7 linked regions of the Macaca mulatta genome follow. The protein of the gene in region 2 binds, or shares a complex with, the protein of the main gene of each other region. Links are inferred from orthologs where the notes say so. Each region holds a gene or a part of one and is shown on either strand. Other genes may lie near its edges. The genes, in order: GEMIN5, SNRPD3, SNW1, TXNL4A, PPIL2, PRPF3 and SNRPD2.

Region 1 (3,500 bases), on a different chromosome or scaffold from region 2:
ACAGTGACCGAGTGGGCTTCACATCCTTTTGTAATCACTCTGGTAGGTGACACCTATCAGAGAATGACTGCATATTTTAGGAGCCCACTTTCTCTTCTATCTTGCTTTATCTTTTTCTACAAGTCAGTAATAGATGTTTCCGAAACACCTTCCAAACATTATCTCTCTTTCAAACAGGAAAAGGTCACTTAGAAAATGGCCACCCTGAGTTATTTCACCAGCTTATGCTTTGGAAAGGAGATCTCAAAGGTGTTCTCCAAACCGCAGCGGAAAGAGGGGAGCTGACAGACAACCTTGTGGCTATGGCACCAGCGGGTATGGTTTTCGTGCTTGTTCTTTTCAGTAAAAACTCTATCATCTCTGGGATACGTCCACTAAAGATGGCTCTTGGCAGTACCAGTCTTAAGCTTGAAATCACTTACAAATAGATACAATGCTAATCCTGTTTGCAGCAGTAGACAAACTCGTAAATCCAACCCAACCCCTGTGAAAAAGAGCAGGTCACTGACACTTTAATGGCAAAAGCATAATTGGTGAGAACTTCTTGAAGGACAATTTGGCCATGTCTAGTAAATTTTAAAGATACAATGGCACAAGTCTGTAGTCCCCAGCTGCTCTGGAGGCTGAGGCAGGAGGATTGCTTAAGGCCAGGCATTCAGACCTATAGGGCACTGTTAATTGTGCCTGTGAATAGCCACTGTACTGTAGCCTGGGCAACATCATGAGACCTTTGTCTCTTTAAAAAAGAAAGAAAAAAGGTGGGTGTGGTGATTCATGCCTATAATACCAGCATTTCGGGAGGCCGAGGTGGGCAGGCCGCTGGAGCCCAGGAGTTTGAGACCAGCCTAGGCAACATGGCAAAACCCCATCTCTACAAAAAATAAAAAAATTATCTGGGCATGGTGGCATGTACCTGTAGTCCCAGCTACTCAGGAGGCTGTGGTGGGAGGATCACCTGAGCCCAGGGAGGTTGAGGCTGCAGTGAGCCATGATTGTGCTACTTAGCTCCAGCCTGAGCCACAGAGCAAGACCCTGTCTCAAAAAACAATAAAAGGAAAGAGAAAAAAAAAAAAAAAGCACGTAAGCATGTTACCTTTGGTTCGTCAATTCTAATTATAGGAATTTATCTAACTGTGCTCACACATTCCTTTCTGTATCTTTTCAACTTTGTACTGTTTTGTTTGTGTTACATAATCAAACAATTGATGTTTCAGAATGTGTAGATGAAGCAGATCATCCGTAGTGGTGGCTGAATTGGTATCTAAATGTTCTGCTGAATGCATCGACTGAAAACAAAGCTTTTCAACCCAAATATACTGGGTTTTGTTTTTAACTTCTCTTCAACTGTTTTTTAACCACCATCTTTTATTTTTTCAGCTGGCTACCATGTGTGGCTATGGGCTGTGGAAGCTTTTGCCAAACAGCTGTGTTTTCAGGATCAGTATGTCAAGGCTGCTTCTCACCTACTTTCCATCCACAAAGTGTATGAAGCTGTGGAGCTGCTCAAGTCAAACCATTTTTACAGGTATGTGTAGTCATAGAGTTGGGATAATACTTGGACATAATGTGAAAGTAATCTAAACTTCTCTATTGTTAAAGTAACATAAAGAGAAGAAACAGTCCTCCTGCCTCAGCCCCCTAACTGGGACTACTCAGGAGGTGTGTGCCACCACCTCCAGCTGTTTTTTTAGTTTTTTGTAGAGACGGAGACTTGCTGTGTTGTCTAAGCTGATTTCCAACTCCTGGGCTCAAGCGATCCTCCTGCCTCAGCCTCCCAAAATGCTGGGATTACAGGCATGAGCCACCATGCTTAACCAAGATTTTCTTTTTGTCCTACCCTGCTTTGGTTTTGTTGTCTTCCTTTAGAGAGTGTTGAACTTTGTTTTGGCAAGTAGTAAAGTTGTATATCAGCTTGATCTTTTCATGGCTTGTTTTTAAACTTTGTTAGGGCAAGTTTATCATATTCTAGAATTAGTTTGGACCTCCTACATTCTGATATCTTTATTGAATGCCTTATGCATTCAACAAGTCAAAACTCAGATGTCTCCAGGTCCTGAGTAAGCTCTGGTAATTGTTCAGCTTACAGTTACCTAGTCATTCTTTGTTTAGACTTATGGAGTTTCCTTTACATACGTGGCTTTGAATTTAGCCAAAGACTCAATATGGATGTCTTTCTCTGGACAACTTCCTCCTTCCTAGTATCCTGCCCCTCAGATTGCCATTGTTTCCTCTTTTCAACTCAGAGACCGCTGAGGTTTTGCTTGGGTTTTCTTTAGGAAAATGGCTTTGGGCAGAAAGCCAGTGCCCAGATAGGGTTCCCATCGTTTGTTTCTGTTCTCTTAGGGGTTACTGTCCTGTGCTGCCTGTTACCCAGTGTCTGAAAACAGTTGTTTCAGACATTTTGTCCAGTATTTTAGTTTTATGGCAGGAAGGTAGGTCTGATCCCAGTTATTCCATCATAGCTGGAAGTAGAAGTCCCAAAATACTTTCAAAATATTGCTCTGTTTAGATCACTTTAATAAAACACTTTTTTCCCCAGCTACAACTTTATGTTGGCTACAACTCAGCAGTTGTATGTCATTTGAAAAATATTTGTTTACTGAGTTGTACAGATCCAAATGTTAACATATCTTATTATAAAATACCCAAAAATGTCACATTCCTTACTATCACCGTCACTCTCATCAGAAAATTCTAACTTATGGGAAACTGTCAAGCACACAAGTGGTACGTACAAGTTTTCTAAAATTCTAATTTTTGCTAGAAAACTCACATTTTATCATTAGTAACAAATACTGTTGGTTGTTTTTAATGAAGTGGTTAGTCTTTTTTTTTTTTTTTTTAGAAGAAAGCAGGTTCTGTGAAAAAAACAGCCAGTTTAGCTTGTAATTTGTTCATACAGGTGTTTCCTGGAGACAACCATCCTACTTTGGAATGCAGCAGAGAACACAAAATGTTCTTCCCATTTGTCACACACAATATATTAAAGTGTTTTGGACTTGAGGGATTTAGTAAAATTCATAATTTTTACTGCTTCATTAAGGGCATTCTCCCTTTTTTCCCACTATAAGAGCCACTGCCTTCTTTCTTAGATGCCAGAATTTACCAACCATTACTTTTGCACAATCAGTGCAAATGTCAACACAGTTTTTTTTTTTAATAAACAACACATAACTGACTCTTAGCATTGTTACAAAAATAGTTATAACCTCATGAACCCTCTGAAAGGTTCTTGAGGACCCCCTAGGAATCCACAGACCACAAATTTAAGAACTGCTGATCTAAGTGAAGAAACGAATGAAGCATGTGTTTGTAATTTGTCTATCTAATGCAAGTGCAGTTTTTTAAAGGAAGTTGAAACAATAAGAACGCAAAAGGGACAATTTGTCCTGTCTTACAGCCCCTCCTAGGGCCATACACAGAGGAGCCTTTTCAGATTGGCTAAAGTGTCTATTCTTGCCTTTAGGGAAGCTATTGCAATTGCCAAGGCCCGGCTGCGC
Region 2 (4,158 bases):
AAAAAAAAAAAAAAAAAAAAAAGGCAAGCCGGGCATGGTGGCTCACATCTGTAGTCCCAGCACTTTGGGAGGCTGAGACAAGTGGACCACAAGGTCAGGAGTTCGAGACCAGCCTGGCCAATATGGTGAAACCCGTCTCTACTAAAAATACAAAAATTAGCTGACATGGTGGCAGGTGCCTGTAGTCTCAGCTACTTGGGAGGCTGAGGCAGGAGAATCGCTTGAACCTGGAAGGCGGAGGTTGCAGTGAGCCAAGATCGCGCCACTGCACTCCAGCCTGGGCGACAGAGCAAGGCTCCATCTCAAAAAAAAAAAAAAAAAACTTTATTAAAAAAAAAACTTTATGTTAAGAAAAGTCATTAGAGTGGGCCCTATTTCTACATGCCTGGTATCCTTATAAGAAGAGATCTAGACAGAAACACTACAGAGTGAAGACCAAGTGAAGACACAGGGAGAAGAGAGTCATCTATAAGTAAGGAGAGAGGCCTGGAACAGATCCTTCCTTCACATCCCTCAGAAGAAATCAGCCTTGCCAACACCTTGATCTCAGACTTCCAGCCTTCAGATCTAGGAGAAAACAAATTTGTGTTGTCTAAGCTGCCCAATCTGTGAAACTTTGTTATTGGCAGCACTAGCATACAAATACAAGCAGGGAGGCAGGTGGCTGCCCCCCCACCATTGGTCAGGCATGTGACATGCATCTACTCATTTCTTCTGCACTATGGTTCCTTCTGAAGCCAAGGAGCTATTTTTATCCCTGACTTAGAAGAGGGACCAGAGGACGAAGGAGGTCCAAAGCTCACCCCAAGTCACCCTAGGTGGCAGGCTGCAAGCTGATTCCAGGTCTGTCTGACTCCAAGTTCTGTGCACTTTGTGTCACGTGGACTGCATCTCTGAATGGCCACCGAGGTTATCTGGTTAGACACCTTCATGTTATGGATGGGATGACAAAGGCCCTGGAAACCCAGCAGGTTGTCCAAATACATATAGCTAGATGACAAACCCATTAAGATTCACTAACCCAAGTCCTGCATTCTCCTCACCAAATTAAAGTACCTTAAAGTGGATGAGCATGCCTTAAGCCAGAGGTCTGGATATATGAAAGAGAGATGATAAACCTATCTACTGTCAATAGATAAACTGATCTATTGACAATGATGCAATAAACCTGAGTCACCAGAGGTCTACTTCTCTGCATCCAGGGAACTGACCAAGCTTGTCAACCTCGCAGGAAGATGATAGACGCTCAAAGCTACAGAAAAATCACAAATAAATGAATGGCGCAAACCAATAGATGGTCAGGATACCTGACCGTGGTGTAAGACGCTTTACCTCTCTGACCTTCTCATCTGGAAAAAAGCAGTAAACACCATACGTTGAACACTTACAGTATGTGAGGCACCGAGCAGCTATTGCACACATATAGCTCATCTGATCTTTGTAAAAGTCCTGGGGGTGTGGATATTATCCCTGTGGCAGTCTTAAGGGTGTGCTGCTCAGATCTCCCTCCAAAAGAAAACAGGCTATGAGGAGTGAAGGCAGCCGACAATCTCCATCTTTGCAGTCCACCATGGCATTCAACTTGGGGAGAGAGACTGTCTCCCCAGGCTGCCAGCCAATGGAATGAACACACCAGGGGTGCCAGTCTGCCCATTTCTGCCCCATGTTAGATTCTTCTAATGAGCAATCACTGCCTTGCTGAGACTTCCTCAAAACTACACTGTAGTCTAAGGTTCTTCCTGCTCAATCCTCCTTCTTTCCCCTCTCGTTTCACCAGTCAGACCAGCATCACGGACTGAAAATTTCCCTGCCTACTACTGTTTCCTTGTTCCTTTATCCTTTATTGTCATTTCCCCCAATAAATACCTTGCATAATTCTGTCTTGGCATCTACATCAAAGAACCCAAAATAATAACACTCCCGTTTTACAGATGAGAAAACTGAGTGATTAATACATCTAAGGTCATATAATTAGGAATCAAACCCACATCTCTCTCTGACTCCCAAGTCCAAGTTCTTAACCAATGGTTTAAAGAACAAAGAAAGTGTGAAGATACAACTGAAAAACAATGCTATAAAAATTCAGATGACTATGCAAAAGGCAAAGCTGCGCCATGAGAAGGACACCGTATCAAGAAACTACTCCATTATTTACTATCAGAGTGATGAGTCCTTTAATCTCATTCTCCCTATTTTATGGATGACAAGACTACCACCAAACCTGCTTACCTCACAAGGTAGTTGCAATAATCAAATGAGACTCCTCCTCCAAGAGAAAAGGGAAACAAACACAGTATGTGAGAAGATTCTCCTAACTGCAAAGCAAGTGGAGGCAAATGGATAATGGCTCTGAACCTGAAGGATTCTACTGAAGGAACTTCTCCCAAACAGGTCCCCAAATTTGGGGATGGAAAAAACAAAAAAGGCGAAGTAAAATATTCCAAATCTCCAAATGGCTTTTCTGCCTCAAGACTATGTGTTTTGTTCATGCCCACATCCCCAGAGCCTATAACAGCACCTGACTGGTATGTGTTAGGCACTCAGGAAATCACTGCTGAATGAGAACAATTTACAGAAGACCCCCAACCCACACCTTTCTGTCCTTCAAGACACAGGGCCATTCCTCCCACACAGCCTCACATGCAAAGCAGAATACCTGGCAGTTCATGTTGTCCTCTGCTTCAATGAGCTTCCCCCGATATACCTCACCGGTGTTCGTCTCACATGTCACAATGTGGCCCTCGGCCTCGTGCAGCACTTTAATTGGCACACCAATAGACATCTTGGCAGGAAGAGAGCTCTACAGTGAAAGAGACAACAGTCAGTTCATCTTTCAGAGTCTGAGAAGGCATGCGGCACACGTCATGCCTCCTTCAAGGCCTGGCACTCCATAAAACTTAGCAAAAACGCCAAAGCTGCATTTTCTATCAAAGAAAAAGAAAAAAGAAAGCTCAGCTCCTGGCTTGGAGGAAACTATCTGGCAAATATGTGCAAGATGTCGGGTGAGGAGGAATGGTGGGGTGGACAGAAGTAAAAACAGGAATGAAAAGAGAGCATCTCCCATCGACCATGTGTCCCTGCTACCCTATGTCCCTTAATCTTCAGCTAAAGGACCATTAGCGAATACTGTGTGTGTAGGGGAGGGGGATTGGAATGTTAATCTGTTGCACTGTTATTTGTCAACCCTTAATTGTAGATTATTACATTTTGACAATCATAACACAGGCCTGAGCTGTCCAATACAGTAGCTCATGTCCACATGTAGCTATTTAAATTAAACTTAACTAAAACACAATAGAATTAAAATAAAAAACCCAGTCCCTCAATCCCAGTGGCCATATTCCAAGTGCTCAACAGCTACATGTAGCTGGTGGCTACCCTACGGAAGGAGCAGATACAGACCTAAGGACCATGCATATCTAGGAGAGGAGACTGTACTTTTAATGCAGCTCTTTAACCCTTCCCTTACTTTACCATCAAGGATATTGAGAAAATATCAAAGTGACAACGTGCTATATGCAGGAAATGCCCGTCATGGAGGAAAATAAGGGAAAGCACCTGACTTGACCTAATTAAAAGCATCAAGTAGTGAACTTTTTATTGACATGAGCGACGACTCAAAGTTGGAACCTAAGTGCACCTAAGACAGGAGAACATGAGGTTGAAAAGACAGGCTCCTTTGGTGAGGATCCCTGGCTTTCAGCCTTAGGAGCCTAGATTTTATGCTGAAGATAGTGGGGAACCACTGCAAAATTATAGGTAAAGAATGACACAATGAAAAGGTAGCAGCATTTATTTACAAAATGGATCTAACGTAAGGTTTAGAAGCAGAGAAACTTGTTAAAATTTCTGCAACAGTTAAAACTGCTGCAACAGTGTGGAAAGCATGACGGGACCACTGCCTGAAAGGGAGCTGGGGGCAGAGATGCAAAGAACTTTTTAAAAAATGACCGGCTGGGCGCGATGGCTCACGCCCGTAGTCCCAACACTTTTGAAGGACGAAGCCGGTGGATCCCTTGAGCCCAGGAGTTCGAGACCAGCCAGGGTAACATGGTGAAACCGTCTCTACTTTAAAAAAAAAAAAAAAAAAAAAAACCCTCATAGGATTTGACTTCAAGATTCAAAAAACTCATAGGAAATGACTTCAAGATTACTGCC
Region 3 (3,115 bases), on a different chromosome or scaffold from region 2:
AGACAGCATGACCGGAATCTTTCCAGGGCAGCTCCTGATAAGAGGTAGGTGTTATTTAAGATACGTACCAATCATGGAGGCTGGGCGCGGTGGCTCACCCCTGTAATCCCAGCACTTTGGGAGGCCAATGTGGGCAGGAGATCGAGACCATCCTGGCTAACATGGTGAAACCCCATGTCTACTAAAAGTACAAAAAATTAGCCGGGCGTGGTCATGGTGGGCGTCTAGTCCCAGCTGCTCGGGAGACTGAGGCAGAAGAATGGTGTGAACCTGGGAGGCGGAGCTTGCAGTGAGCTGAGATGGCGCCACTGCACTCCAGCCTGGGCAGAGTGAGACTCCGTCTCACACAAAAAAAGATAGGTACCAATCATGAAGAGTGGCCTTTTTGTACCTTTTAGAGCAGAGTTTTTAGTCCACTAAGATCAGTTTTGCTTCTCTCCCTTTCTTCTTCAGTTTGATAACTTAATACATTAGCACTTAATTTTCTTATACTTAACTTTGTCTTAGCTCTAGTTGACTGTCTTTGGAATTAATCTTTTCTTCCATCACTTAAGTCAGAATTGAGAATGATGGGAATATGGAAAACAGAATTGAGATCAGATTTTTGAAAAGGATGTAGTAGTAAATTTGGACTGTTATAGTCGGTTCTTTTCCTACCTTAAATGGTGAGACAAATGGATTATGTGCCTCTTTAGACAGGAAATAAGCTGTCATGCTTTTACTGAGATCATTTTATATGCATAGTACTTTATATGCATCTAGTGCAATTGAGAAGAGCAGTTTTGAAAGAAGTGAAAATCAGCTCATTCTTAACAGAAGTTTAACTTACAGTTCAGAAAGACAGAGCTATCCATAAAATAATTTGAGAAAATTTGCAAAGCACTTTTAGTAAATATAAATGTATGGAACAAACTAAATACATATACAAGGGCATAAAGTATGGATTGGGGAAGTTTATGGCTCACCAAAGGCTGAGGACTTAAAGTTCTGAAAAGTAGAGGAAATGCTGCAATACAAAGGTAGAATTCTGAGTGAGGGTTAAATGCAAATATAAAATATTTTCTTCCCAAAGGAACAGTTTTCTATGCTCTGATCATCCCATGAGCCTAATACATTTTTCAAGTCATATTTTAAACACAAAAAAGAGGCTGGGCACGGTGGCTCACACCTATAATCCCAGCACTTTGGCAAGCCAAGGCGGGCGAATCACTTGAGGTCAGGAGTTCATCCAGCCTGGCCAACATGGTGAAACCCCCATCTCTACTAAAAATACAAAAATTAGCTGGGTGTGGTGGCATGTGCCTGTAGTCCCAGCTACTCGAGAGGCTGAAGTGGGAGAATCATTTGAACCCTGGAGGCAGAGGATTCAGTGAGCCAAGATCGTGCCACTATACTCCAGCCTGGGTGAGAGCGAGACTGTATCTCAAAAATAAAAATAAATAGGCATTAAAAAGATTCCTGCTGGTGTTAATTGGCATATTTCATCTCCCTGGATAAATGACGTCATAGAGAAGCAGAGACTCTTACTCTTGAGTTGAGGGTAACGTACATGTAGAAGGAGGAGCAAAGTGTGAAAGTGTTTAATTAATGACAGTCTTGGTTAGTAATTCCTAAGTTGTAAAAGTTACAATGGCTCTGTGGATAAATTGGGCCCTCAAAACCAGTAAAGTGGCCATCAGAATTGACAACATAGAAAAGCTGTAAAATTGTAACTGGATGAAAATCAAATAGCCTGTAGAAATCATTTTGTGACCTGAGTTTTTAGTAAAATAAGTAATGACAGTTACCATGGTTTCATTGGGATATAGATTGCATGTATAATGAAACAGCCAGGAAACCAAATTAATTTGAATGTCAAAAATCATACTAACTATTTCAGTCATTGACATGTTTTCCTCAAAATTCTAGTGGGATAAAATTATTAAATGTAGTTAGATAAAAGAGCTGTTTCTAGCTTATTTAAAATGATTCCTGTGCTACATCTAAATTGTATCCACTTCCCCAACCCCCAAACCATCATATGATAGTAAATATAGACCATAGCAATTTTATATCTCAGTATGGTTGTAAGGTGATTGCTTATATTAAAGAATTCCATGTCAACGAATCTGTTAGATGTTCTTTTGAGCTAACAGGATGTCCTAATTGTAAAACTCTTCCCTCTAATCTGAAATGCTTTATAAGGGCTGCCAACTTGATTATGTATTATCAAGGAATATACGTTCTCAAGATGTGAATGTGACATATTCATGTCCTTTGCTTCTGAGATTGGTTGTATTTCTATTGAACATACTCAGTTTGTCTATAAAGAGTTTTCAGTTAGTGATGTCGTATTTCAAAATAGGTCGAAACTTCAGAGAAATGAAAATCGGGATATCAGTGAAGTCATTGCTCTCGGTGTTCCTAATCCTCGGACTTCCAATGAAGTTCAGTATGACCAAAGGCTCTTCAACCAATCCAAGGTACAAGTTTAGGAAAGCATATTGTTGTGTTGATGTGAATACCTATCCTCAGGGAAACGAAAATTACCATACTTCATATTTGGATGTAAATGCCAGCATGATGACAAAAAAATTGGAAGTTGTATGTTGAAACTTGAGACAAGAAAGATGAAACAGTTCTGATTTTAACTTCTTACAGTGGACTGAAATTTGAGACACTAGGAGAAGAAAGAAATTAGCTGATTAAAAACTTGGTGCTGTACTCGGGAGGCTGAGGCAGGAGAATGGCGTGAACCCGGGGGGCGGAGCTTGCAGTGAGCCGAGATTGAGCCACTGCACTCCAGCCTGGGCGACAGAGCGAGACTCTCTGTCTCAAAAAAAAAAAAAAAAAAAAAAAAAACAACTTGGTGCTGTGGTATGTCAATCTTTTGTTTTTAAAATAGAACCAGGGAGGACAGGCACGGTGGCTTTTGCCTATAATCCCAACACATTTGGAGGCCGGCAGATCACCTGAGGTCAGGAGTTTGAGACCAGCCTGGCCAATGTGGTGAAACCCCAGCTCTACTAAAAATACGAAAATTAGCCAGGTGTGGTGGTGCATGCCTGTAATCCTCACTACTTGGGAGGCTGAGGCACGAGAATTGCTTCAGCTTGTGGTGAGCCAAGATTGTGCC
Region 4 (3,954 bases), on a different chromosome or scaffold from region 2:
GAGATTAGAGGTTTTATTTTAAAAAGAGAAATATTATTTCTCTTGGAGAAAGTTCATAGGCACCAGTAAGGGTCTGGGGAGCGAAGCCGGGGGAGCCAGATCAGTCCTGGAGGTGCAAGTTATGCTGAAGCTATGCAATAAAACTGGCTTCAGGTCGGGCGCGGTGGCTTCCTCCAGTAATTTCAGCGCTTTGGGAGGCCGAAGCGGGCGGATCACTTGAGGTCAGGGGTTCGAAACCAGCCTGGCCAACATGGTTAAACCCCGTCTCTACTAAGTACAAAAAAACTAGCCGGGCTGGCGCCTGTAGTCCCAGCTTACGGGGAGGCTGAGGCAGGAGAAGCGCTTGAACCCGGGAGGCGGGGGCTGCAGTGGGCCGAGATCACGCCACTGCACTCCAGCCTGCGCGACAGAACGAGACAACGTCTCAAAAAAAATTTTTTTTCTTTATAAAAAGACAAAAACTCTGGTTTCGGGTTACAACAGGCAGCTCAGCAGCCGGCCTGACGGTGACATTCCTCAAGGACGGCCTGCCCAGTGCTTCCCCCCACCCCGCTGCTCGGCTCTGCCGTGGCTGGGTATGGCAACAACGACACATTTTTATGGTCAAGTTTCACAAATGACACACACGAACCGTCTCGCTAACACACAGCACAAACGATGACCCGAAACAGACACCAGAAAGGAAAAAAACGAGCCGCAGTGCCGGGCATGCCGGGCCTTTCTGAAGACGTCCCCATCCGTGGCTGGAGGACAGCCCGGGCGGCGGCGGGCGGCCTCGGGGCGGGTGCGTCGGGGCAGGGCACGGCGAGCCCGGGGCTTCTCAGGACCACCAGGCCGCCTGGACGCTGGGGAGGAACCCCCACTCCGACGCCGGCTAGGAGGGCACCAACCGCGCTCCACCGTGGCCAGGTCGCCGCCGCTCCCGCCGGCCAACGACAAGCTAGCGCGGCGTCTGTACGCGCGTGACGTCAGCACGCACGGCGCCAGCCCGTGCGCATGACGTCAGCACGCACGGCGTCGGTGCGTGCGCGCCCAGAGGTTCCGCCCGGCGGCAGTGCCAGCGGAGCTTGCGGGTGTGGGTGGGACCGGGTTTCGGCTGTGGGCCCGGGGGCGGCGGGGGCCGCGGAGTGAGGGGCCGGCTGAGCCCACCACCTCGCTGGGCCCTCCCTGGCGCCCGGCCTCGGGCGGCGGCGAGCGCGCGGGTCGCCATGTCGTACATGCTCCCGCACCTGCACAACGGCTGGCAGGTGGACCAGGCCATTCTCTCCGAGGAGGACCGCGTGGTCGTCATCCGCTTCGGCCACGACTGGGACCCCACCTGCATGAAGATGGACGAGGTCCTATACAGCATCGCCGAGAAGGTAGCGCGCCGGGCCCTCCCGCCCTGCTGGCTGTGCTTCCGCAGCGGCCCCGCGCCTCTGCCCCGCCGGCCTCGCCTGGGGGCGCGAGCCGTTCCCCGAGGAGGGGCCGCGGCGCGGTTGTCCGGGCGATTCCTTCCCGCGCTGCGGGCGAGCGCTCTCGGGGACTGTGCCGGCGTTTCGCGCCTTTTTCTGCAGGGAGCTCCTGTAGTTGTTCACGTTTTAAAGGGTTTATGATCCCCCTCCCCTCGAAGGAATTCATTATTTCTGTTGGTAAGGCGTTTTTCCCAATCTTACAGTGCAGTGAACAAAGTAACACTTGCAGGTTTTGAGAGCGCAGATCCTTAATTTAAAAGGATGCCCTTTTCTGGTGCCCTGTTTGTTTGTTGTATGTGTAAAGCAGAACTTTCATGTTAATAGCATAAGAAATCCTGTTTTTCTGTTGGTGTTTTCTTCCACCGCGCTTTTTGTAAGTCATGTGATTTATAGCTTAGAGTGATTAAGATGCAGAAAACATCGGGAGAAAATAGAACTATGCTTTGTTGGAACTAGTTTTCTGAATTTCTAATATTAGTACATTGAGTGGCCTTGGCACTTACTTGCTGACAATAAAAGTTGTGGGACACTATAACCAGGTTTCATTCTTTTTCTGTGGTTCCTCACAGCAATTTTAGGATGGCGTTTATTTAGGTTTTGCAGCTGTAGCAATAGGGCAAAGGGCACAAATACTAGGGTGTTAATAAAATATTTGCCATATTAATTTTCCGTAAGTAATTTGAGCGGTTATTCATTTTGATGAAGAGTAAAAGTAACATTGAAGCTATCTTTTCTTTCACAGATGCTAAAGTAGGCTGGGTTAAAATAACTCCTTTGAGTAAAGAGTAACAGATATAAAGACATTTTATATTGAGGAAAGGAAAGACTGTCTGGCCTGCCATTTATTAATTCTTGCTATTTCTTATTTAGTAGGAGAGGTGTGATGTTAGGAACTGTTGTTATATTTTAGTTATTACAAGAATCTCTTGGAGTGCTTACTAAAATGCATCTGTGATTCTGAGTCTATGGGTGTGGGGTGAAGTCCAGCAATGGCTTTTTAAAGAAGCCCCTCAGGGAATTCTGATGTGACCTGACCTTGAACCACACACTCAGAAACCCTTCCATGGGGGTCAGGGACAGAGGCGGAGTGCTTTATTACCAGCCATCTCCCAGCCTCTTCCTCTTGGACAGCAGGACACTGAGGACTTGAGGAGCTGCCTAGGGAATCAGGAGAGCAGCAGTTCTCTCACACTGGGGCTTCTGCCAGCCAGGGATTAGAGATGATGAGTGAGGCAGTGCCAGCACATCAGCTTTTCATTGCTTGACTTGTAGTGGACAAGGGCAGATACTGGAAATCCAGCGAAGAATTGACGAAGAGCAGTTTCCCAATAAGTAAATCACTGCTTGTAAATCACTGACTTTGAGTTACGAGTTCTAGAATCTTTCACTGTTCTACCTTGCAGGTGGTGGCATAAACATCAGCTGGTGTTCAGATCCTGCTGCCGGCAGCTCGAGGCTAGGATGGCTGGCGATGTGAGGGCCTTTGTCTCATCACATCCAGGCAGAGCTCAGCAAGATGCTCTTAGCTAGGAAACAGATTTTATGTGTTAATGTAAGTGTTAGGGTCTTTGCCAGATTTGCTCTTTTTTTCCAATTCCTTTATGTCCGATTTCTTTGTTATTACAGAATGAATCACTGTATCACTAGTGGACACACACTTAAGGACAGTTGAAATGGGCTCACTTTGGGGTATTTTTTTTTTTTTTTTGGTCTTTTAAAATAGTTTGATTTTTGTTTCTGTCCAAAAATTTGGATTGCTTTATTAATAAACTTTTAATGCAAATATTATAGTATAATTATTAAAAGCGCAAACCTAGGCCAGGCACGGTGGTTCATATCTGTAATCCCAGCACTTTGGTTGGGAGGCTAGTGTAGGCAGATCACTTGAGCCCAGGAATTCGAGACCAGCCTGGACAATATGGTGAAACCCGTTCTCTACTAAAAGTACAAATGCCAGACGTGGTGGCACATGCCTGTAGTCCCAGCTACTTGGGAGGCTGAGGTGGGAGAATCACCTGAGCCCGGGAAGTCAAGGCTGCAGTGAGCCATGATTATACCACTGAACTCCAGCCTGGGCAACAGGAGTGAGACCCTGTCTCCAAAAATAAGTGCAAACCTGAAATGCATTAAAAGACTATTCGTGTTTTATTTTCTTCTTAGTATATGGGCAAAATATGACTTTCTAATTCTGGAAGCTCTTTTGGGGAAACTCAACAGAAATTTTTGAAATGTAAGATTTTAGTATAAAGAACAATATAACTATTTAAAAATTTCCCTGTGCAGAAATGGCAGATAATGGAGAATCTTCCTTATCTTGTTAAGAGTCCTGTCGATGTCCCAGCTGTTTTAAAGTGAGTAACAGTTGCAGATGTTCGGCTGGACTTGATACGATTTTTTCCTGGATGTGTTGTATTGATCTGCTGCTTCCACAAGGCCCACTGGCCTCATGCTGGGTTAGAGCTGAGCTGTGAACTTCAGGAAGAAAGTTAGTCTGGAAACA
Region 5 (3,971 bases), about 2.6 Mb from region 2:
CTCACTGCCTCAACCTCCTGAGTAGCTGGAACTACAGGCACCCGCCACCACACCCGGCTAATTTTTGTATTTTTAGTAGAGACAGGGTTTTGCAATGTTGGCCAGGCTAGTCTTGAACTCCTGACCTCAAGTGATCCGCTTGCCTCAGCCTCTCCAAGTGCCGGGATTACAGGTGTGAGCCACCACGTCCGTCCAGACATGTTAAATTTGAGATCAGCGGCTACCCAAGTGGAGATCAGGAACCTGGAGTACTGGTGACTTAGTATTGGGAGTCATGGGATATAAATGGCGTTTAAAATTAGGAGCCTAGGCAAGATTACCCCGGGCCTGAGTGTAGTTGGGGGCCCAAGGTACTGTTCTGACCCAAGGCAAGAGTCTGGCAGAAGAGAAGGAAGGGATCAGGCAGGGTTTTGGACCTCTAGGCTTGATGGCCACCTGCTGCTGGGCCTCCAAGGGGCCTGGAGGCGGTGCGGACGGAATATGCAGAGAGAATGAGAAGTGAGCGAGTAGAACGAGGGTGGTACATGGCTTTGAAGGAGTCGGCCACGGAGGCGGGAAAGGATGGGGTGGAGGCTCATGAGACTTGAAGCTCTAGGAGGACATTGAAAAAGACCTGAGCGCTGGCCGGGCGCGGAGGCTCAGGCCTGTAATCCCAGCACTTTGGGAGGCCAAGGCGGGAGGACTGCTTGAGCTCAAGAGCTCCAGACCAGCCTGGGCAAAATAGTAAGAGCTTGTCTCTACAAAAAATTAACATATTAGCCGGGTGTGGTGGCGCGTGCCCGTAGCTACTCGGGAGGCTGAGGTGGGAGAATCGCTTGAGCCTGGGAGGTCGAGGCTGTAGTGAGCTGTGATTGCGCCACTGCACTCCAACCTGGGCGACAGAGCGAGATCCTGTCTCGAAAATAAAATAAGACCTGAGAACCCAGTATGGGAATGGCCCTGAGCCGTGGCTGAGGGGGGCAGGCGAGGCGGTCGGGAGAGACCCTTCGAGAAGATGGGGCTTCGAGGCTGAGGGAGCTCTGCCCCGAGAAGGCGCCAGCGAGACACAACACACCTAGCTAGGACCCCATACTGGGCAGGCGATCCTTCCGAGCATGCGCACCTGGCGCTAGCGAACCACAATTCCCAGCACGCCAAGCGCCTGTTTCCGGGGCGAGCCGCGGAACCCGGAAGTGGTCACGAAACTCGGCCGTGGCTCCATGGTCTGAGTGGTCAGCGGTTGCTTTTTCGTGCTAGGTAGTTGCCGCCGCCGCCGCGCCGCCATGGGGAAGCGACAGCACCAGAAGGACAAGATGTAAGTTGAGTCGCAGTCGGGAGTGGCGCTCCGCTCTGCCTCAGTAAACCGCCTGTCCCGCCCTGCTCGCCGCTCGCCTTCCCTCTCAGCTGGTCCCCAGAGCCCAGCCCAAAAGTCACTTCCTCCCGGAAGCTGCCACCGTCTCTCCAGTCAGGGTAATGACCCTCGGGCCGCCGCGCTCTCCCAGGGGGCCGCGGCTCCGAAGACGTCAGCTGCGGGCTCGAGCGCAGCCCGGTCTTTCTTTACTCTAGTTCTGCCCGGACCGTGCCCCGTCTGCTCGCGAGCTTTGCCCCTGTAGTCTCTCCCTCTTCCGTACTTCGCGTCTGGCTGTGTTCTGGTTCATGCCTATCAGCCTGCACACGTGCTGCAGAGCCTTCCTATTTAAAGCAAACCAGGCCGGGCGCGGTGGCTCACCTGTAATCCCAGCACTTTGGGAGGCTGAGGCGGGCGGATCACCTGAGGTCAGGAGTTCAAGACCAGCCTGGCCACCATGATGAAACCCCGTCTCTACCCAAAACACAAAAATTAGCGGGGCGTGGTGGCGGGCGCCTGTAATCCTAGCTACTCGGGAGGCTGAGGCAGGAGAATCGCTTGAACCCGGGAGGCGGAGATTGCCGTGAGCCGAGATCGTGTCACTGCACTCCAGCCTGGGCGACAGAGCCAGACTCTGTCTCAAAAATAATAAATAAAATAAAACAAAAAAATCCGCCTATGCCCCGTGCCCCGCGTTCCCCTCCTGCTGCCGCCGTGATTTCAGAACAAGTTAGAGACCCGTGGCTTCATGCTGTTTTCTGAGTCTCTTGAAACCACTCAAGTCAGAATTTCGATCCCAGAACTGCCCCTTGTCAGGTTGCCAGCGACTTCTTGTTGCTAACTCTAGTATTCAATCCTCAGTCCTCGTGTTTTTTTTGAGACGGAGTTTCGCTCTTGTTGCCCATGCTGGGGAGTGCAGTGGTGCGATCTCGGCTTTCCGCAACCCCCGCTTCCCAGGTTCAAGCGATTCTCCTGCTTCAGCCTCCCGAATAGCTGGGATTACAGGCATGTGCCCCCAGGCCCGGCTAATTTTGTATTTTTAGTAGAGAAGGGGGTTTCTCCATGTTGGTCAGGCTGGTCTCGAACTCCGATCTCAGGTGATCCGCCCGCCTTGGCCTCCCAAAGTACTGGGATTATAGGCGAGCCACCGCGCCAGGCAGCCTCAGTCCTCATTTTGTTGGGGTTCTCAACAGTATGTCACACTGTTAACCACTCCCTCCTTCTGAAGCCCTCCTTTGGTATCTGAGATTTCCTGTGCTCTTTGTTTTCCATCGACTTCAGCGGCCTCTCTTTTCCCAGCCTCCTTTCTGGACCCTCCTCCCTTTTCTCAGATCTCATAGGTTTCTTTTCCATAAACATTCTCTGTGAGTGATATAATTTCCCAGTCATCTATAAGCTGCTTTCCCCAGTCTTGTGTAGTTAGTGGCTTACTTGATATCTCCACTGGAGGACTGATAAACATCTCAATTTTTTTTTTTTTTTTTTTTTTTTTTTTTTTTTTGAGACGGGAGTCTCAGGCTGTTGCCCAGGCTGGAGTGCAGTGGCGCGATCTCGGCTCACTGCAAGCTCCGCCTCCTGGGTTCACGCCATTCTCCTGCCTCAGCCTCCTGAGTAGCTGGGACTACAGGCGCCCGCCACCGCGCCCGGCTAATTTTTTGTATTTTTAGTAGAGACGGGGTTTCACTGTGGTCTCGATCTCCTGACCTCGTGATCCGCCCGTCTCGGCCTCCCAAAGTGCTGGGATTACAGGCTTGAGCCACCGCGCCCGGCCTCAATTTTTTTTTTTTTTGAGATGGAGTCTTGCTGTGTTGCCCAGGCTGGAGTGCAATGGTGCGATCTTGGCTCACTGCAACCTCTACTTCCCAGATTCAAGCGATTCTCCCACCTCCGCCTCCCCAGTAGCTGAGATTACAGGCGCCTGCCACCATGCCCGGCTAATTTTTGTATTTTTAGTAGAGACAGGTTTCACCATGTTGGCCAGGCTGGTATCAAACTCCTGACCTCGGGTGATCCACACGCCTCTGCCTCCCAAAGTGCTGGGATTACAGGCATGAGCCACCGTGCCCTCAAATTTAATATGCCTTAAACAGAACTCTTGATTTTCAGCTCCTGAGCCTGCTCCTCCCTGTAAGCTAAAAATAAAATCCTAAATCCCCTTACTGGCTGAGCAGACACCCTTGTGCCTAAGAGAACTCCAGGAAAACCTTAAAACTGAGTTCCTGGCCATGATGCGATGGAGGTCAGCTGTACCTTGTTATATCTTCCTCCCTTTTGTGGCCCAGACACAACAACTGACTGGCATTAACGTTGAAATAGAGATCATAAAGGGGCCCGGCGCGGTGGCTCGCACCTGTAATCCCAGCACTTTGGGAGGCTGAGGTGGTGGATCATGAGGTCAGGAGATCGAGACCATCCTGGTTAACATGGTGAAACCCCGTCTCTACTAAAAATACAAAAAAAAAAAAAATTAGCCGAGCGTGGTGGCTAATTTTTAATAAAAATAAAGAAATAGAAATAAGATTGATGAAACAGACTCTTTGTGGCAATAAGATACCAAATTATAAATAGAACCTATAGTCATGCCAGACAACTTCCCTGGTTAAGTTACCCACCCCTACGCCTAAAGAATAAACTATATCCTTTT
Region 6 (3,500 bases), on a different chromosome or scaffold from region 2:
GTCTTCAGCTCCTGACCTCAAGTGATTCACCCACTTCAGCCTCTCAAAGTGCTACAGGCGTGAGCCACCATGCCTGACCCTTCTGTAATTTTTGAATTTTGAATATCACCTATTCAAGAAAAAATGTTAAAGACAAATTTTTAAAAATATCTGGAAGCTCTTTTTGCAAAATGCAAGAGGAGTTGTTTGACTATACCCTCAAAGCTTATCATTCTGAACTTCTTTAGGACAGAAGGGGTTTATAGAGACTAGGGAGCAGGTCTTTGCACCATCGTCTCTTGTTTCTCAAACTAGTAGTTCAAGTACTAATATCATGATTTTTTTAAAAAAATTAAGTATAGGCTGGGAGCAGTGGCTCACGCCTTTCATCCCAATACTTTGGGAGGCCAAGGCAGGCGGATAAGGAGATTGAGACCATCCTGGCTAACAGAGTGAAACCCTGTCTCTACTAAAAATACAAAATCCATCCTGGCTAACAGGGTGAAACCCCATCTCTACTAAAAATACAAAAAATTAGCCGAGTGTAGTGGTGGGTGCCTGTAGTCCCATCTACTTGGGAGGCTGAGGCAGGAGAATGGCGTGAACCCGGGAGGCAGAGCTTGCAGTGAGCCAAGATTGCGCCACTGCACTCCAGCCTGGGCCACAGAGTGAGACTCCGTCTCAAAAATTAAAAAAAAAAAAAATTAAGCATAATATTTTGTGTAGGTTCTGTAAGGTTTGCATGCATTATTTAAGTGGTTACAATAGACCTATAAGGTAGGTACTGTTTTTATCCTCCCTTTTAGACGCTTAGGAGGTTTAGAGACTAAGTTCCTTATCCAAGATAACAAAGGCATTAAGTGTCAGAGTTAAGATTCAAACTCGGGCCGGGCGCGGTGGCTCAAGCCTGTAATCCCAGCACTTTGGGAGGCCGAGGTGGGTGGATCACGAGGTCAGGAGATCGAGACCATCCTGGCTAACATGGTGAAACCCTGTCTCTACTAAAAATACAAAAAACTAGCCGGGCGTGGTGGCGGGTGCCTGTAGTCCCAGCTACTTGGAGGCTGAGGCAGGAGAATGGCGTAAACCTGGGAGGCGGAGCTTGCAGTAAGCCGAGATCGCACCACTGCACTCCAGCCTGGGCGACACAGCGAGACTCCGTCTCAAAAAAAAAAAAAAAGATTCAAACTCAGGTTTCTCTGACTCCAGAGTCTCAGTCATCACATTGTATTGCTACCTAATATGCCAATCTTGCCTTAGGAACTTGGGTTGAAAAATTCCAGTGCACACTTTAATCTTGACTAAATTTTTTGCACTATGGTAGACAGTATGTGGTATATTCAAAAAATTTTAAGTGTCTAGACCTGAGAGCCTTGTGGGTTTAAAAACCTGAATGGGAGTAGTAAAGAGGAGAAATTAACAGTTTTTCAATTTTTTTCCTGGAGAGCAGATCAAACAGATGATGGAGGCAGCAACACGACAAATTGAGGAGAGGAAAAAACAGTTGAGCTTCATTAGCCCCCCTACACCTCAGGTATTGTGTCTAGATTACTCTGAAGACAATAGTCTTTGGCACAGAATTTCTTGCCATCCACTCAAAATGACAGACCAGAAGAGGTGACTGCATGTTTTACTTCATAATCATCTACTACAGTCTACCATGATGTGTATGTGTGTATCTGTGTGTATGCATACGTGTATTTGTCTGCCTGTCTTAATGCCTCTGATTTCTTTTACTCTATCTCACAGCCAAAGACTCCTTCTTCTTCCCAACCAGAGCGACTTCCAATTGGCAACACTATTCAGCCCTCCCAGGCTGCCACTTTCATGAATGATGCCATTGAGAAGGCAAGGAAAGCAGCTGAACTACAAGCTCGAATCCAAGCCCAGCTGGCACTGAAGCCAGGACTCATCGGCAATGCCAACATGGTGGGCCTGGCTAATCTCCATGCCATGGGCATTGCTCCCCCGTGAGTGTCTATTTCATGGAATACCTTTTCATTTCTGAAGTTTGAGAAGCAATAAATACCTTTGAATGTTACTGATCTGGCTGGGCGCAGTGCCTCAGGCCTATAATCCTAGCACTTTGGGAGGCCGAGGTAGGTGGATCACCTGAGGTCAGGAGTCAGGAGTTTGAGACTAGCCTGACCAATATGATGAAACCCCGTCTCCACTAAAAATACAAAAATTAGCTGGATGTGGTGGTGCATGCCTGTTATCCCAGCTACTCGGGAGGCTGAGGCAGGAGAATCACTTGAATCCAGGAGGCAGAGTTTGCAGTGAGCTGAGATCGTGCCACTGCACTCCAGCCTGGGTGACAGAGGGAGACTCTGGCTCAAAAACAACAACAACAAAAAAAATTACTGATCCTCTTTTTCCACAGAACCTAGATCATTTCTCACAGTTCCATATTTCTTATGTGTGATTGATTAACCAGTTGAATTTTTTCTCTTGGCTTCCCTGTTGTTGCAGGGTTTATTATCTTCTTATGATTGATATAACTGAGATTAAGGTTATTCATCTGATATTGGAGCTCTGAATAGAGCCAGGTTTCCTTCCTGGTTTCAAACTCAGATTTATCCATTAAAGCACATTATGTGAGATCAGATCTGAGGTTCCTCTGCAACTGGTCAAAGATGTTACACTTTTTTTTTTTTTTTAGCATCTACAGTTGGTCTGGCATCCCATGACTGACGTAAGAATTCAGGGATAAAGAAAGATAGGATTGTAAATTCATATAATTTATAAACTCATTTCTTTCGGTGGTCTTGTATGCTGAAATATCTACTTTGATATTTTTAATCAAGATGTTATTGGCAGGTCGTGGTGACTCACACTTGTAATCCCAGCACTTTGGGAGGCCGAGACTGGCAGATTGCTTGAGCTCAGGAGTTCAAGACCAGCCTAGGCAACATGGCAAAACCCCATCTCTCTAAAAAATACAACAATTAGCCAGGCATGGTAGAGCATGCCTGTAATTCTAGCTACTTAGGAGACTGAGGTGGGAGAATTTCTTTGAGCCTGGGAGGTTGAGGTTGCAATGAGCTGTGATTATGGCACTGTACTTTAGCCTGGGCAACAGAGTGAGACCATGTCTCAAAAGAAAGATGGTATTACTCACTGATGAGATTGTTCCCTAGAATTATTTTATCATCTTTTTTTTTTTTTTTGAGACGGAGTCTCGCTCTGTCGCCCAGGCTGGAGTGCAGTGGCCTGATCTCAGCTCACTGCAAGCTCCGCCTCCTGGGTTCACACCATTCTCCTGCCTCAGCCTCCCGAGTAGCTGGGACTACAGGCGCCCGCCACCTCGCCCGGCTAGTTTTTTGTAGTTTTAGTAGAGACGGGGTTTCACTGTGTTCACCAGGATGGTCTCGATCTCCTGACCTCGTGATCCACCCGTCTCGGCCTCCCAAAGTGCTGGGATTACAGGCTTGAGCCACCGCACCCGGCCCGTCTTTTTTTTTTTTTTGAGAGGGAGTCTCACTCTGTTGCCCAGGCTGGAGTGCAGTGGCGTGATCTCG
Region 7 (2,054 bases), on a different chromosome or scaffold from region 2:
TCAGCACTTCGGGAGGTCGAGGCGGGTGGATCACGAGGTCAGGAAATCAAGACCATCCTGGCCAACGTGGTGAAACCCACTGTCTACTAAAAATACAAAAATTAGCTGGGCGTGGAGGTGGCGCGCGCCTGTAGTCCCAGCTACTCAGGAGGCTGAGGCAGGAGAATCGCTTGAACCCAGGAGGCAGAGGTTGCAGTGAGCTGAGATCGTGCCTCTGCACTCTAGCCTGGCAACAGAGCAAGACTCTGTCTCAAAAAAAAAAAAAAAAGAAAAGAAAAAGAAAATGTCTGTTAGGCATCCAGCTGGTGATACTCAGAAGGCCAAACAGGACGGATGTGATGGGACAAGGCTGGGGAGACATTGAGGCTGAGGCCCTGACCACCCATCCTCACAGCTCCAGCCTCTCTCACTTGTGGGTTCCATGTTTATCCATGCAGGAGCCTCCTCAACAAGCCCAAGAGTGAGATGACCCCAGAGGAGCTGCAGAAGCGAGAGGAGGAGGAATTTAACACGGGTCCACTCTCTGTGCTCACTCAGTCAGTCAAGAACAACACCCAAGTGCTCATCAACTGTCGCAACAATAAGAAACTCCTGGGCCGTGTGAAGGCCTTCGATAGGTGAGTGCTGGGTCCTGGGAGGTGTTCTGTGCAGGCCTAGAGAGGCTGCCCTAGCTCCAGTCTGAAGAGCTCAAAGACAGGTTTCTCAGACGCCTGGGGTGTATGGCCCAGGGTGGTGGCTCATGCCTGTAATTCCAGCACTTTGGGAGGCCAAGGCGGGTGGATCACCTGAGGTCAGGAGTTCGAGACTAGCCTGGCTAACATGGTGAAACGGCATCTCTATTAAAAATATAAAAACCGGGCGTGGTGGTGCACACCTGTATTCACAGCTACTCAGGAGGCCGAGGCACGAGAATTGCCTGAACCCAGGAGGCAGAGGTTGCGGCGAGCTGAAATCGCACCACTGCACTCCAGCCTGGGCAACAGAGCGACACTCTGTCTCAAAAAAAAAAAAGAAAAAAAAAGATAATATTCAACGACCTTGTGAGGAAGGTACTGTGATTGTCTTCCCTCTTAAAGATGAACAAACTGGCACAGAGAGGTGCAGTCCTTTGCCTCAGCCTCAACCTAAGGACTGGCAGAATTGGCCTTGGCAGCTTGGTCATCCAGCCTAGCACCTGCATCCTTCCCCAAGCCATGCTGCTGGAGGGGGCGAGCAGCAGGCAGCGCTGTCAGAGGCACCCCCCTCACACCCAGTGCCTCCCCTCCCTGTTCCCCACCAGGCACTGCAACATGGTGCTGGAGAACGTGAAGGAGATGTGGACTGAGGTCCCTAAGAGCGGCAAGGGCAAGAAGAAATCCAAGCCAGTCAACAAAGACCGCTACATCTCCAAGATGTTCCTGCGTGGGGACTCGGTCATCGTGGTCCTGCGGAACCCGCTCATCGCCGGCAAGTAGGGGCTGCCTATCCATCGACAGAACTCACTCTCTCGTCCTATGAAGACCATTGCCATTGGTGTTGAGAATAATAAAGCTCTGTGGTTTTTTTCTAGTGGTATGTGTTCCCAGAGCCTTGTGAGTGGGGTGGATTCAGGAGGGCTTGGGGGAGGCAGCTAATATCAAATTGAATGCTGGGACCAGGACCCGTGAGCAAGTGGAGAGGCCCTGGCTCTGCCCCATCGAGGCCTCACTTTCCCCCTCCGCAAAGCAAACAGGTTGGATGGAAATGAGCACCCAGTTGTGGCACTGGAGAATATTTTAGTTCTCCTGCTTTAATCTTTCTGAGCTTCGCCTTGTCACTCTGTTGCTCTCTTCTCTGCCTCTTAAAATGAATTGGCCTCGCTTGACCAAAATATCTTTTGGGGCCAGGCATGGTGGCTCACGCCTGTAATCCCAGTAGTTTGGGAGGCTGAGGCGGGCAAATCACCTGACATCGGGAATTCAAGACCAGCCTGGCCAACATGGTGAAATGCTGTCTCTACTAAAAATACAAAGATTGGCCAGGCGCAGTGGCTCACGCCTGTAATCCCAGCACTTTGGGAGGCCAAGGCGGGTGGA

The links.
Region 1: SNRPD3 (region 2) and GEMIN5 share a complex: the UniProt entries of both Homo sapiens proteins name them as parts of the SMN-Sm complex. The link is inferred for Macaca mulatta from reciprocal best matches to the Homo sapiens genes SNRPD3 and GEMIN5.
Region 3: SNRPD3 (region 2) and SNW1 share a complex: the UniProt entries of both Homo sapiens proteins name them as parts of the minor spliceosome. The link is inferred for Macaca mulatta from reciprocal best matches to the Homo sapiens genes SNRPD3 and SNW1.
Region 4: SNRPD3 (region 2) and TXNL4A share a complex: the UniProt entries of both Homo sapiens proteins name them as parts of the U4/U6-U5 tri-snRNP complex. The link is inferred for Macaca mulatta from reciprocal best matches to the Homo sapiens genes SNRPD3 and TXNL4A.
Region 5: SNRPD3 (region 2) and PPIL2 share a complex: the UniProt entries of both Homo sapiens proteins name them as parts of the minor spliceosome. The link is inferred for Macaca mulatta from reciprocal best matches to the Homo sapiens genes SNRPD3 and PPIL2.
Region 6: SNRPD3 (region 2) and PRPF3 share a complex: the UniProt entries of both Homo sapiens proteins name them as parts of the U4/U6-U5 tri-snRNP complex. The link is inferred for Macaca mulatta from reciprocal best matches to the Homo sapiens genes SNRPD3 and PRPF3.
Region 7: SNRPD3 (region 2) and SNRPD2 share a complex: the UniProt entries of both Homo sapiens proteins name them as parts of the SMN-Sm complex. The link is inferred for Macaca mulatta from reciprocal best matches to the Homo sapiens genes SNRPD3 and SNRPD2.

Annotation. Positions count from the first base shown.
Region 1 is NC_133411.1:163,768,470-163,771,969, reverse strand, and holds part of GEMIN5 (gem-associated protein 5), read left to right. Parts: intron 1-177; coding exon 178-315; intron 316-1,377; coding exon 1,378-1,525; intron 1,526-3,466; coding exon 3,467-3,500. UniProt on the Homo sapiens protein: The SMN complex catalyzes the assembly of small nuclear ribonucleoproteins (snRNPs), the building blocks of the spliceosome, and thereby plays an important role in the splicing of cellular pre-mRNAs.
Region 2 is NC_133415.1:28,770,555-28,774,712, forward strand, and holds the start of SNRPD3 (small nuclear ribonucleoprotein Sm D3), read right to left. Parts: upstream 2,801-4,158; 5' UTR 2,783-2,800; coding exon 2,657-2,782; intron 1-2,656. UniProt on the Homo sapiens protein: Plays a role in pre-mRNA splicing as a core component of the spliceosomal U1, U2, U4 and U5 small nuclear ribonucleoproteins (snRNPs), the building blocks of the spliceosome.
Region 3 is NC_133412.1:150,941,480-150,944,594, reverse strand, and holds part of SNW1 (SNW domain-containing protein 1), read left to right. Parts: coding exon 1-44; intron 45-2,344; coding exon 2,345-2,462; intron 2,463-3,115. UniProt on the Homo sapiens protein: Involved in pre-mRNA splicing as component of the spliceosome. As a component of the minor spliceosome, involved in the splicing of U12-type introns in pre-mRNAs.
Region 4 is NC_133423.1:1,024,140-1,028,093, forward strand, and holds the start of TXNL4A (thioredoxin-like protein 4A), read left to right. Parts: upstream 1-1,154; 5' UTR 1,155-1,208; coding exon 1,209-1,361; intron 1,362-2,857; exon of another isoform or gene 2,858-2,970; coding exon of another isoform or gene 2,971-3,006; intron 3,007-3,954. UniProt on the Homo sapiens protein: Plays a role in pre-mRNA splicing as component of the U5 snRNP and U4/U6-U5 tri-snRNP complexes that are involved in spliceosome assembly, and as component of the precatalytic spliceosome (spliceosome B complex).
Region 5 is NC_133415.1:31,327,311-31,331,281, reverse strand, and holds the start of PPIL2 (RING-type E3 ubiquitin-protein ligase PPIL2), read left to right. Parts: upstream 1-1,171; 5' UTR 1,172-1,262; coding exon 1,263-1,294; exon of another isoform or gene 1,295-1,337; intron 1,338-3,971. UniProt on the Homo sapiens protein: Has a ubiquitin-protein ligase activity acting as an E3 ubiquitin protein ligase or as an ubiquitin-ubiquitin ligase promoting elongation of ubiquitin chains on substrates.
Region 6 is NC_133406.1:116,802,743-116,806,242, reverse strand, and holds part of PRPF3 (U4/U6 small nuclear ribonucleoprotein Prp3), read left to right. Parts: intron 1-1,429; coding exon 1,430-1,513; intron 1,514-1,728; coding exon 1,729-1,949; intron 1,950-3,500. UniProt on the Homo sapiens protein: Plays a role in pre-mRNA splicing as component of the U4/U6-U5 tri-snRNP complex that is involved in spliceosome assembly, and as component of the precatalytic spliceosome (spliceosome B complex).
Region 7 is NC_133424.1:58,224,554-58,226,607, reverse strand, and holds the end of SNRPD2 (small nuclear ribonucleoprotein Sm D2), read left to right. Parts: intron 1-302; exon of another isoform or gene 303-437; coding exon 438-617; intron 618-1,253; coding exon of another isoform or gene 1,254-1,279; coding exon 1,280-1,454; 3' UTR 1,455-1,554; downstream 1,555-2,054. UniProt on the Homo sapiens protein: Plays a role in pre-mRNA splicing as a core component of the spliceosomal U1, U2, U4 and U5 small nuclear ribonucleoproteins (snRNPs), the building blocks of the spliceosome.